Linked DNA regions of Oryctolagus cuniculus. The protein of the gene in region 3 interacts with the protein of the main gene of each other region in a biochemical or structural test. Links are inferred from orthologs where the notes say so. Each region holds a gene or a part of one and is shown on either strand. Other genes may lie near its edges. The genes, in order: HJURP, MIS18A and OIP5.

Region 1 (4,480 bases), on a different chromosome or scaffold from region 3:
GCCAGCACTGCAGGTGGAGGGCTAACCTGCTGCGCCACAGCGCCGGCCCTCCCCGACTCGATGTCCATCCCTCTGGGTCATCACCGCAGTAAAGCGTGCTCACCTGGCTGGTTGTCCAGAGCCCAGGAGCCCCGCAGGGGCGGCACCTCTCGCCCTCCTCCCCTTCTGCTTAGTGAGCGTGACACTTTTTTCCCAATACATAAAGCATTTTGCATCCTGCAGAAGTCACAGCTGCGCGAAGCAGTGCATTCGGGATGCTTAGCTCACTCCCGCCCAACCTGGCGGGAAGTGTGTGGGCACCTCCTGCCTTCCAGTGAGCTCTCGAAGACAGCAGGTTCCAGGTCAGTCCCGGGGTGGGAAAGCAAGAGTCTAGTTTTGATGCCTGGAAAGGAACCTCTCCCTCGGAACCTGGGGCTTCTTATTATCATTGTCATTGTCATTATTGTCATCGTTGCTTTGAGAAGGTCGCGGTCCGGCCTCGAGTTCCATGATGTCTGCACAGGGACGTGTGACTGTGTGTTTCTCCCAGGGTGCCGTGGTGGGGTCTCTGGAAGCAGCCCCGGGGGCCCGGCTAAGCCGGCCTCGCCGCCCCAGGAGCAGTGCCCCCTGCATCCTGGCTCCACAGACACGGGCACGGAACACCAAGACGACAGCCTCTGCTCCCTGGGGACGGACGGGAGCGGCCGGTCCTGGGCGGCTGAGGAGCTGTGCGACGTGACCATCAGCGAGCTGTACGCGGGGATGCTGCGCTCCATGAGCCGGCTGCTGAGTGCAAAGCCGGCGTGCGTCATCTCCACCAGAGCGTCTGTGCTTCAAGCCTGGAGCTGCAGGCGGCGGCACAGGTGGAGGAGCAGGCTGAACAGGACGTACTGCGAGGCGGGCAGGCGTTCCCGGGGGAGCTCCTTGCACCCACCCCTGCCGGGGCCGGAGCCGGAGCCGGGTGCGGGACCACTGAGAGACTGCGAGAACCTACTCGATGTTTCTCGCCGTAAGGCGGGTTTTAAATTGGAAAGGGCTTGTCTTGAAGGCAACAAATCCCAGGTGCAGACGTCCGATCCGGGCTGGAAGGAGCTGCAGCTGACGCCACGGAGGAACTCGGCTCCGGCAGGCTCGGACGTCGGAGCGGTGCGCGCCCTGGGCCGGGAGCGCAGGCTCGGGATGCTGCAGTGGCTGCTTTCCCCTGTGAAGCTCATCTCTGGACCGGCAACGCCACAGGGCCCCCGCGGGGAGCGCTACAGGGAGATCCGGGTCCGATTTGAGAGACTGCATCGGGAGTACGCCCTGAGCCCCGGCAGACAGCCTCGCCACACGGGCCTCGCGGACTCCTGGGCCGTGGGCCTGTACAGCGGCGGGCCGGTGAGCCCAGGGGGTTCCTGGAGCTTCGAAACCCACAGGCCGGGTCTGTCTGTGAGAGCGAAGGGCAAGACGTTGAGGGAGGCCTTCGAGCGCCTGGGCAGATCCGTGGACTCAGGCCAAGGCCGGCCAGAGGACGGTCCCTCTCCCTTGCCTGCAGGGCCCAGCCCCGTGCCGAGCCCAGGCCGCCCGCAGCAGGCGAGGAGCCTTGTCCCGGGAAGCAGCCCTGGCCCGCTTAGGAAGGCGGCGTCACCCGGCGGAGCTGTTCCAGGACCCAGGACAGAACCTCTGGGCTGCGGGAGGAATCGTTACGATGAGATTAAAGAAGAGTTTGACAAGCTGCATCGGGAGTACTGCAGCACGGCACCGCGGCCGGGCGCAGCGTCTCCAGACACGGCAAGTGCGCAGGCCCGGCACCGGACAGACGATGTCCTGGGAAAACCGAACCCGGACTCCCGGTCCCAGAAGTTGTCGCTGTCAGCCCAGTGGCACAGAAGAGGCGCACTGGGCTCGAGCGCAGTGGAGGACGGGGCGTCTGCTGGAGCCACCAGGGGCGACCATTGGTCCCCTGCGAAGCGCCGCAGGCTGCCAGACCCCCAGCTGCGCGCACCCCAGGCCGACTCCTGGGACTCCCCAGGCCCGGACCACCCAGCGGGGAAGAGAAGGTGAGTTTGTGTAGCTGGGGCTGGCGGCTTCCTGCGGTAGTGACCTGCGTGTGCCTTTGGACAAATTCCAGAACATTCTTGGGTATTTGTTTCTAAGCATTCTCTCCCCTCTTTTCCTTCCTCTAAACCAGCGTTTCCATTAGGAATGTGTGTGAGCGTGCACACGTGTGTGTGTGTGAGAAAGACGCATCAAACGCGTGTTCTGTGATGTCACGTGTGTATAACATCACGTGTGGGCGCGCCAGCAGCAGATTGAACAGGCTGCGTCGTCTGCTGTCGGCCAGAACCCTTCCGAGAGGGAGCCCAGGAGGGCGGCCCAGCCCTGGGTGCGGCGCAGCAGGCTCCTGGTCTCCGCCAGTGCTCCCCCTGGAGCTGGGCTCGCTGGTGGTCCCGGGCCATTTGCCCCGCCCCCTCAGCCCCCTCCTGTGCCCCTTGGGCTTTACAAGACCAACACACCAGCCGAGTGACTGGCGGCCAGCGTTGCAGGGGTTCTGGGAGGGGGAAGCCTCAGACAGCCCCCAGCCCCTTCTTCAGGGAACGGCCTTGAGCGCAGTGCTACGCCTGCACGCTGCTGCCAGCTGCCCTCTGAGGATAACCTTGGTCCTCGTAAAAGGCAGGATTTCACCGAAGACAGTCCCACCCAGAGAGCCACGCCGGGCCCCCGGAACTGCCGTGTGCTGTCCTGCTGTCTCCACTGTTCTCCAGTGCCCTGCCCAGCCTCCCGTTCCTTCACTGTCATCCCGCCCTGGGCCCCCCGGGCCCCTGTCCCACCTGACCCCAGTGCAAAATCACTTCGTGCCTTTTCACCTGCTTGGCCTAAAGGCCACGTGGAGGGGACAGCTTTACAGACAGGTCCGTGTTGTGAGCAGGCGCCCCGGCGCCTGCAGGGAGGCACTTAGGTCCCCCTGGAACTTGACCGCCGGTCTCAGTGGCCAGCACCAGACGCCATCTTAAGGCACAATGTGAGGGCGTTAAACCATTGTGACCAGTCTGAGGAAGGGGCCAGATCATCCTCGTGCTGTCTGGGTCTCCCATGTGGCTTCCAGGGACCCGCGTACTTGAGCCACCACCTGCTGCCCACCAGGTGCAGTAGCAGGGAGCTGGAGTGGAGGTGGCGCCTGGTCTCAAACGCAGGCCTCTGCAGTGGGATGCAGGCTTCTCACACGGGGTCTTAACCACCAGGCTAACCACCGCGTGGAGAGAACCCTCCCATCGGATGAGGTCGGCAGAGCAGGCGGGTTCTCCCATTTGTAAATGAGGCAGTGAGCTTCACTCTTAGGACCTCTGTGTTGACACGGGCAGTGCAGGGTGGCCGGCGTCAGAGAGCCGGGGACTGTGTAGTCTCTCTCTTTGGCCAGCACTGGAGAGCCGGGGACGGGCCACAGCTGCACTGCCTGTGTGGGGATCGCTGTTGAGTTTGTGTCTGATTCCTTGGGGCATCTTCTACCGTGAATACAGATACTTCTGTGCACGCCCTGGGATGACCAGAAGGCAGGGGGCTGTGTGGGGCCTGGCTTTGGGGGCCCTGTCAGATGGGGGTGCAGTCGGATCTGTCTTTTCTGCCCGCAGAGGCGAGAGCACGGCTTTCCAGATGGACGGGCGGAGTGACTGTCGCTAGAAGGCAGCGCCGGCGTCTCCACCGGGCGGTGTGCAGCGCTGCCCCCTTGCTCTCTGGTTTGTGGCTTTTTCTTCGTCATCACAAAGACGGGAGAACCTGGTTGGCTTTTCTGCCCTTAGACAGATTTCAGCAGCACCCACTCCGTCAGACGGCGCTCGGGCCCCGGGACGAAGTCTTGGAAATAAAGTCGCTTAATTAAAAAACTCCCAGACGTCTCTGGAGACCCGTCTTTCTGTTTCCTTTGAACGGGGACGTTTCCGGCGACACGTGCCCCGCCTCCCGCATCACGAGGACGTCGTCTGGGTACGGAGCCGCGCAGGCCCTGCCGTGGGGAGCAGAGGGGGCCGCAGCTGCGCCGTCTGCAGCTCAGCCCCTGCGCCAGAGCTCCGCGTCCTCCCCGTGGGGGGATTTCACAGCCCGGAGCCCCTTCGTCCAGGAGCAAGGAAACAGCGGGAAGAAGTGGGCCCCGCGGCCCCAGTGTCGCCGGGGCACCGTCCAGCGCACTGTCTCATTAGACCCGGCTTCCCGGAAGACAGCCGCCTCGCCAACACCGGACGGCTCAGCTCAGCCTCCTGAAATAACGCTGGAGCCCAGGTCAGTGGCTTAACTGCTTCCGAGGTCACGATGCCAGCAAGGTCAGGTATGCTGGGAGCTAGAACCCCACCCTAGGAATGTGAGGGACCCACGGGTCAGCCCACCGCACCGTGAGCGGTCAGCCTGCTGGTGGCCAAGAACCCGGCCAAAGCCTCGCCCCTCGGCAGGGTCGGCTTTAACAGGCGGCCTGGCTCAGTCGCGGCTGGCGGAGGGGCCCTGCCCACCCTCTAGCCATTCTCGGCCTGCTGCT
Region 2 (4,361 bases), on a different chromosome or scaffold from region 3:
CAAAGCATCATCACTCATAGCTCAGCCACCTAAGGACCCGGAAGAAGCCTCCCCTGTCTTGCTTTATCTAACGTCAGAAACATGTGCCACTTCCAATTTGACCTTTTTTCCAATTTTTTACTTAAGAGGGGCAGGGGAGAGAGCAAGAGCACGACCTCCCGTCTGTTGTCTCACTCCCCAGTGCCCGCAATGGCCAGAGCTGGAAACTCGATCCAGTTCTCTCACGTGGGTGGCATGGACCCAACTACTTGGGCCAACTATGTGCTGCCTCCCAGGGTGTGCGTTAGCCAGAAGCTGGAATCAGGAGCTCAGAATTAAACCCAGGGACTTTGGGGCCGGCGCTGTGGCACAGCGGTGAAAGCCCTGGCCAGCAGTGCCGGCATCCCATATGGGCACCAGTTCGAGTCCTGGCTGCTCTACTTCCAATCCAGCTCTTTGCTATGGCCTGGGAATGCAGTAGAAGATGGCCCAAGTCCCTGCACCCACATGGGAGACCCTGAGGAGGCTCCTGGATCCTGATCAGCTCAGCTCCACTGTGGTCATTTGGGGAGGAAACCAGTAGATGGAAGACCTCTCTCTCTCTCTGGCTCTGGCTCTACCTCTCTCTCTCTCTCTCTCTGACTTTCAAATAAATAAAATAAATCTTAAAGTAAAATATAATAATAAAATAAAATAAACCCAGGGACTTCAATGTGGAACACAGCTGCCTTAACCAGTAGGATAAACACCTGCTCCTAAATGAGACTTTAAGTAATAAATTGTGGTGGTCAATACTTGATTAACCAAATGTCAGCAACTGTAACAGTTATTCTCCAACTTACACTGTGTTTGCCTCTCATTGTTACAAGATGCGATGGTTTAGGAAAGTAGGAAGTAGCAGAAGAATCAGCTGGCAATGGAGGGAAACCAGCTCTGGGCTGGCAACCAGCTACATCTAAACAGTAAGGACGGAGATGCCAGCATCTCTCAAAGAAAACTCGAGGGGCCAGGGCTGTGGCGCCAGCTCCCGGCATCCCACAGCGGAGTGCTGGCGGGAGTCCCCGCAGCTCTGTCTCTGCTCCAGCTTTCTGCCAATATGCCTGGCAAGGCAGAGGAAAATAGCGTGGTAGGCAAACTGCAGAAGGCAACCGACATCCTACTTAGAAAACCAAAGATGCGGTGGGAAAATGACATGGCACCGAGCAACTGATAAAACTGTAAATAAATGGCACAGAGGGCAGCCCTGGCATTACAATTCCACCCCAAGGGGCCAGTGCTGTGGCATAACCGGTTAAGCTACCACCTACAAATCCAGCATCCCACTTGGGTGCTGGTGCTAGTCCCTAACGTTCCACTTGCGATCCAGCTCTCTCTAATGCACCTGGAAAAGCAGCAGAAGATGGCCAAGTCCTTAGGCTCCTGCATCCATGTGGGAGACCCAGATGGGGCTCCTGGCTCCTGGCTTTGGCCTTGTCCTGCCCTGGCCCTTGCAGCCATTCGGGCAGAGAACCAGCAGATGGAATATCTCTCTCTCCTCACTCTCTCCCTCTGTAGCTTTGCTTCTCTCTGTGGCTTTGCCTTTCAAATAAATAAATCTAAAAAATACACACACACACAAACTTATTTTTTTAAAAAAAATTCTGCCCAAGAAGTAGCCTGTCTCCTAAAATCAACTGTTCAGGAAAAACAGCCTTGACAACCATGATCTCCTGCAGTAAAACCTCCCACGTATTTTCTTCTGTAACACAATATCGCTTTTTAGAAAAATTACTCTCATTTTATTTGAAAGGCAGAGAAAGACAGGAACCTTCCATCCACTGTTCACTCCCCAAATGCCTGCAACACACAGGGCTGGCCCAGGCCGAAGCCAGGAGCTTGGAAGTCAGTCTGTGTCTCCCACATGGGTAATAGGGACCCACCCAAGTACCTGAGCCAGCATCTACTGCCTCCCGGGTTTACATCAGCAAGAAGCTGCATCAGAATTAAAGCAGGCCCTGTCCTATGGGTTGGGGACATCCCAAGCAGCAACTTAACCACTGAGACATAGCCCCAGAAAATACTTAAAAAGAATCCTTCTCAAGTTCATTCCATTTTTAAAAACAAATGAACACAGGCCAGCGCCGCGGCTCACTAGGCTAATCCTCCGCCTTGCAGCGCCGGCACAAAACCGGGTTCTAGTCCCGGTCGGGGCGCCGGATTCTGTCCCGGTTGCTCCTCTTCCAGGCCAGCTCTCTGCTGTGGCCAGGGAGTGCAGTGGAGGATGGCCCAAGTACTTGGGCCCTGCACCCCATGGGAGACCAGGAGAAGCACCTGGCTCCTGCCATCGGATCAGCGCGGTGCGCCGGCCGCGGCGGCCATTGGAGGGTGAACCAACGGCAAAGGAAGACCTTTCTCTCTGTCTCTCTCTCACTGTCCACTCTGTCAAAAAACAAACAAACAAAAAAGAACATATTTTTACTCCAAAAAAAAGCCACAATTTAGGAGTGCTGATTTTTCCAATATCAAAAAATTAGAGCAAAGCAAAGAGAAAAACAGAGAGACAGAGAGAGAAATTAACTGGCTTTAATGTCAGAAAGTACTACCTGGAAATGTCGTTTAAGCGTGGTTTAGCTCTGACGTCTTCATAGCAATTTCTCTGCAAACTTAACTTTCTGAGAGGTCAGTTACCCAGCGGTCACTTAAATATCAAACTTACCTTTCAATGGCTTCAACACTGAGGCAAAACAAGTCCCTCTTGTAATCAAGGCTCTTGGGGGTGCATCTGTATATGTAGCCGAGGTTGAGGGAGCAGCCGACGCAGTACAGGGTCTCGAGGACGCTGCGTAAAGACATAGCACCGCTTTAGGAAGCAAAGCAGCAACTTGCTACAGAACACCCACTGCTGGCACCCACAAACGCTTCAACACTCAGGTTTCCAGGGTTTGTCATTCTGACCATGTTTAGTTACATGTATTCATATAAGGAAGGAAAAAGATGAGAGTAAGACATTTATAATAGAAATGCAAGGACAGCCACACTGCCATCCACATCTGACGGCAGGAACATGCACACGGCAACAAGAGGAGGAGACCATCAAGTGCATGTGTTACGGCGCAAACTCTGCGGCCAGGGCTGTGCCCCAGCAGGTTAAGCTGTCGCTTGAGATGTCAGCATCCCATATGAGGCAGGTTCAAGTCCCAGCTGCTCCACTTCCAATCCAGCTCCCTGCTAACATGCTTGTGAAAGTGGCAGAAAATGGTCCAAATGCTTGGGCTCCTGCTACTCACATGGGAGACCCGGATGGAGTTCCAGGTCCTGGCTTCAGCCTGAATTAGCCGTGGCTGCTGTGGCCATTGGGGAGTGAACCAGCGTATGGAAGCTCTCTCTCCCTCTTTCCGTAATGCTATCTTTCAATAAATAAATCTTAAGAAAAATAAAGAATGTAAACTCTTTGATTATAAAGAAAATTGGGAAATAAGACAAAAAGATTCTATGCGTCCTTTTAATGCCATTGTCCAAGGAGCCCAACAACGGCAGGGAGAGGCAACTCCTGTGTAATGACGCAGAGAATAACTAATCCTTACTACTGGCCTCTGCCGTCACGGCACGAAAACAGCTTACAGACACTGCAGAACTCAATCACCTGGGTTCACAGAGAGGCATCCAGCCCAGGGCCTCTGCCTGCCCCCGCATTGGCAGAAAGCTAACACAGCCCAGTTTAGAAAAAGCCTCTAAAGTTAAATGACAGCCTGAAGAAAGCCCACCAATGCACCGTAAGTGAGTTTAGTCTGGCAGGGACACAAACCATCCCTGTGAGTAGCAAAGCAAGCCCCAAAGGCTGAGGGGCCATAACTCGATCTGCCGACCCTGAACCAGCTTCCAGCTCCCTCGTTAAGGGGTTTTTAAAAAGTCTCGGATGTGTGCCTGTGATCTGTGTGTTAGAGCTGCCTGTTAAAGGATCTACTCACCACCAGCACTCTCCCAGCAACCCCAGGCACGCCCCACACAGGTCACTCACACGTACTTCATGACCCGCCGCCTCTCCACTTACTTGTTCCTTCATCCTGGACTCTCCTCAGCCTGGCTTGCAACATCTGAATATACTCCCTTCCTGTCAACCTGTCTTCCTTAATCTGCCTCAGAATCACCGTTTCCAAAAAGCCTTGCTGACTTGGCTCATTCAATTTGCCACTACGTGAGTAATCCACAGTAAAATTTTAGACCTAACACAGCAAATTAATAAGTGGAGATTTTTCTTCTCAGACTTAAAAAAAAATTTTACTTGAAAGGCAGAGTGATGGGGATGGGGGATGGGTACGATCGTCCATTGGTTGGTTCACTCCCCAGATGTCCGCAACAACCAGCTCTGGGCCAGGCTGATGCCAGGAGCTAGAACTCTGTTC
Region 3 (4,361 bases):
TCTGTCCCGGTTGCCCCTCTTCCAGGCCAGCCCTCTGCTGTGGCCAGGGAGTGCAGTGGAGGATGGCCCAAGTCCTTGGGTTCTGCACCCCATGGGCGGCAATGGAGGGTGAACCAACGGCAAAGGAAGACCTTTCTCTCTCTGTCTCTCTCTCACTGTCCACTCTGCCTGTCAAAAAATAAAAATATAAAGACACATGATGTATTTTTTTAGAAAAACAAATTGTCAATAAATCATAAGAGACGCTATACCTCAATCTATTCCTTCCTAGAAGTAAAACTCTGCTAGGGCAAAATTAAGACAAACATGAATGTCAAAGGAATAATCGGGCTGGCGCTGCGGTGCAGTGGGTTAAAGCCACCGCCTGCAGCACCAGCATCCCATATGGGTGCCGGTTTGAGTCCTGGCTGCTCCTCTTCCAATTCAGGTCTCTGCTACAGCCTGGGAAAACAGTAGAAGATGGCCCAAGTCCTTGGGCCTCTGTACCACATGGGAGACCTGGCAGAAGCTCCTGGCTCCTGGCTTTGAATCAGCTCAGCTCTGGCTGTTGTGGTCATTTGGGGAGTGAACCAGCAGATGGAAGACCTCCCTCTGTCTCTGGCTCTACCTCTCTAACTCTTGTCTTTCATATAGGTAAAATAAATCTTTAAAAAAAAGGGGCGGGGGGAGAATCATGATGAGTGTAAGCTCTCCCAGTGGACCCTGAAGACTTTTACTGAAGCACAGTTTGAAGGACGGTCAGTGATCACATTGTGACAAGTGTTTCTTGCCTACCGGAATCTTGCTCACAGAATCCAGATTTTATCTAAGGCAGCAGTGTGCCCAGTCCTAAGAAATAAAACGTAACTACTCTAAGCCCATGGAGACAAGACTACGGTCACATATTTGACTCCCCAGGTTAAGGTGAGCACGCGACATGTTTACAGACATTCGAATAAGGACATTTTTGCTGATAAAAAGAGAACCTTGTGGGGCTGGCGCTGTGGCACAGTGTTTGGTTAAAGCCCTGGCCTGAAGCGCCGGCATCCCATATGGGCGCTGGTTCTAGTCCCAGCTGCTCCTCTTCCGATCCAGCGCTCTGCTCTGGTCTGAGAAAGCAGTGGAAGATGGCCCAAGTCCTTGGGCTCCTACACCCGCTTGGGAGACCCGGAAGAAGCTCCTGGCTTCGGATTGGTGCAGCTCTGGCTATTGCAGCCATCTAGGGAGTGAACCAGTGGATGGAAGACCTCTCTCTCTGTCTCTACCTCTCTCTGTAACTTAGTCTTTCAAATAAATAAATAAAAAAAACTTTAAAAAAAAAAAAACAAAAAACAAAAGGAGAACCTTGTGTTCTCCACTGCCCATATCTGTTTCTTTTCTGATGGGGTTGCATTAATGCTTATCACCGAAGGAGCCATCCTGTATAAGACAACAAGGCCATGAGAACCATGGGGATGGTGACCCAGAGCACTGTCAGGCCTCAGCTGGGCCTCAAAGAGGCACACGGAGCAGTCAACTGGCCCCACCACTTACTGAAAGCCCCTGGTAGGTTTTCTGTTATTAACAACCAGTCATTTTAATAAAACATAGATTATCTTTCCTGACTCATGCTACTTAAACTTCCTAATTTCTACTTAAAAACAATGTACTGGCCGGCGCCGCGGCTCAACAGGCTAATCCTCTGCCTAGCGGCGCCGGCACACCGGGTTCTAGTCCCGGTCGGGGCGCCGGATTCTGTCCCGGTTGCCCCTCTTCCAGGCCAGCTCTCTGCTGTGGCCAGGGAAGGCAGTGGAGGATGGCCCAAGTGCTTGGGCCCTGCACCCGCATGGGAGACCAGGATAAGTACCTGGCTCCTGCCTTCAGATCAGCGTGGTGCACCAGCCGCGGCGGCCATTGGAGGGTGAACCAACGGCAAAAGAAGACCTTTCTCTCTGTCTGTCTCAGTGTCCACTCTGTCAAAAAAAAAAAAAAAAAAAAAAAAAAAAAAAAGAATGTACTGACCAATCCGCTGCCTTCCCAGGCTCATTAGCAGGAAGCTGGATCAGAAGCACAGTATCAGCACCTGGATACCAGATGCCTGCAGCACAAGCAGTGACCCCTACAGTTATCTTTAAGAGGTACTGAGTGGCTGCAGCATCTTCTTGGGTCCCCAGTCTTTTCTGATAAACAGTACCAGATTTTACTCACCACACCATTTTGTCACTGGAAAGGCAGAAATGACCTCTCAAGGCAGCCAGGGCAGCATGAGTAGAATATAGATGGAAACCAATGGGAATCCCACAGGAATTACAGAACAAAAGGTTGTAAGTGCTGAGGGGGGAAAATAGAGCATGGGTAAGAAATAAAATCAGAGAATACATAACAGGTAATTAATCTCAGGGAACATTCCTATCACCTAAGACATAGGTGAGGGGCCGTGTTGTGGTATAGCAGAAAAAGCTGCTACCTGCTCCTGTGACACATTCCATATGGGTGCCAGTTCAGGACCCGACTGCTCTACTTCCAATCCAGTGCCCTGCTGATGCACCTAGGAAAGGAGGGGAAGATGGCCCATATGCTTAGGCCCCTGCACCTCTCTCCCTTCGTGGGAGACCTCGAAGAAGCTCCTGGCTTCAGTCTGGCCTAGTTCCAGCCATTGTGGCTGTTTGTAGAGTGAACCAGTGTATGGAAGATCTCCCTCCCTCTCTTTCTGTAAACTCTGCCTTTCAAATAAACAAATAATAAATCTTAAAAAAAAAAAAAAAAGACGACAAGGGGCCAGTGTTGTACAATCATGGGTAAAGCTGCTGCCTACAATGCCAATAGTTGAGTCTTAGCTACTACACTTCCAATGGCCTAGCCCAGCCCTGGCCATTGCAGCCATTTGGGGAGCGAACCAGCAAACAGAAGAGCGCTCTCTGTCTCTCTCTCTCTTTATAACTCTGCCTTTCAAATAAATAAATCTTAGGAAAAAAATACAACTGAAAATTACTATAATTAGGGATGAGTCTGCAAAAATGACACATTCAAGGCCGGCGCTGCGGCTCACTAGGCTAATCCTCCGCCTTGCGGCGCCAGCACACCGGGTTCTAGTCCCGGTCGGGGCGCAAGATTCTGTCCCGGTTGCCCCTCTTCCAGGCCAGCCCTCTGCTGTGGCCAGGGAGTGCAGTGGAGGATGGCCCAGGTGCTTGGGCCCTGCACCCCATGGGAGATCAGGAGAAGTACCGGGCTCCTGCCATCGGATCAGCGCGGTGCACCGGCCACAGTGCACTGACCGCAGCGGCCATTGGAGGGTGAACCAACGGCAAAGGAAGACCCCTCTCTCTCTCTCACTGTCCACTCTGCCTGTCAAAAAAAAAAAAAAAAAAAATGACACATTCAAGAGAAAAGTTTACTCAGACTTAATTAGACCCTAGGTAACAGATACCCTCAAGGATTCTGGCCAGAAAAGCAATCATGGATGCATAACTATCATGTCAGTAGAGAAAGGTAATTTACCCTTGTAAAGCAGAAAAAGTTAATTTGATTGATTTAAATATTTAAAGTGACTACCGTGTTTAAAATAGCTACCACTGTAAGAATTCACAGTTCATTAAAAAACAAGTTGATTGAAGGCTTACTGAACAATTTATTGATAAAACTCTGATTTTTCTTTTGCAGAATTTTAAAAATCAACTGAAAAATATTTAGATTCAAAGCAAAAGAAAGGAATCCAATACCCCAGCAAGCCATTTGTTTTCTTTTCCTTTATCCTCTGAAAGATTACTGTATCAAGCATCAAATAGTTGATTTTAGTTTTTGTTAAACGATTGACAAAACACCATATTTATAGTATATGAGACATATCCAAAAATTACAAAGAAACACTTTAAAAAAACCAAGGTCCAGCTGGTGCCGCGGCTCACTAGGCTAATCCTCCACCTTGCGGCGCCGGCACACCGGATTCTAGCCCCAATCGGGGCGCCGGATTCTGTCCCGGTTGCCCCTCTTCCAGGCCAGCTCTCTGCTATGGCCCGGGAGTGCAGTGGAGGATGGCCCAAGTGCTTGGGCCCTGCACCCCATGGGAGACCAGGAGAAGCACCTGGCTCCTGGCTTCGGATCAGCGCGGTGCACTGGCCGCAGCGCGCCGGCCATTGGAGGGTGAACCAACAGCAAAGGAAGACCTTTCTCTCTGTCTCTCTCTCTCTCACTGTCCACTCTGCCTGTCAAAAAACAAACAAACAAACAAACAAACACCAAGGTCCAACATTGAAGTGCAGCATTGCAATGCCAGCATCCCATACAGGAGCCCTGGTTTGAGTCCTTACTGCTCAGCTTCCAATCCAGCTCCCTAATATGCTGAGGAACGAGCAGATGATGGCCCAAGTACTTGGGTCTGTCACCCATGTGGGAGACTCAGATGG

Evidence for each region.
Region 1: the proteins of OIP5 (region 3) and HJURP form a complex in vitro, tested with the Homo sapiens proteins (2 studies listed by BioGRID). The link is inferred for Oryctolagus cuniculus from reciprocal best matches to the Homo sapiens genes OIP5 and HJURP.
Region 2: the proteins of OIP5 (region 3) and MIS18A form a complex in vitro, tested with the Homo sapiens proteins (3 studies listed by BioGRID). The link is inferred for Oryctolagus cuniculus from reciprocal best matches to the Homo sapiens genes OIP5 and MIS18A.

Annotation. Positions count from the first base shown.
Region 1 is NC_091434.1:5,619,937-5,624,416, forward strand, and holds the end of HJURP (Holliday junction recognition protein), read left to right. Parts: exon of another isoform or gene 1-529; coding exon 530-2,018; exon of another isoform or gene 2,019-3,587; coding exon 3,588-3,636; 3' UTR 3,637-3,724; downstream 3,725-4,480. UniProt on the Homo sapiens protein: Centromeric protein that plays a central role in the incorporation and maintenance of histone H3-like variant CENPA at centromeres.
Region 2 is NC_091435.1:12,608,580-12,612,940, reverse strand, and holds part of MIS18A (protein Mis18-alpha), read right to left. Parts: intron 2,798-4,361; coding exon 2,675-2,797; intron 1-2,674. UniProt on the Homo sapiens protein: Required for recruitment of CENPA to centromeres and normal chromosome segregation during mitosis.
Region 3 is NC_091443.1:64,435,223-64,439,583, forward strand, and holds part of OIP5 (protein Mis18-beta), read right to left. Parts: intron 2,290-4,361; coding exon 2,167-2,289; intron 1-2,166. UniProt on the Homo sapiens protein: Required for recruitment of CENPA to centromeres and normal chromosome segregation during mitosis.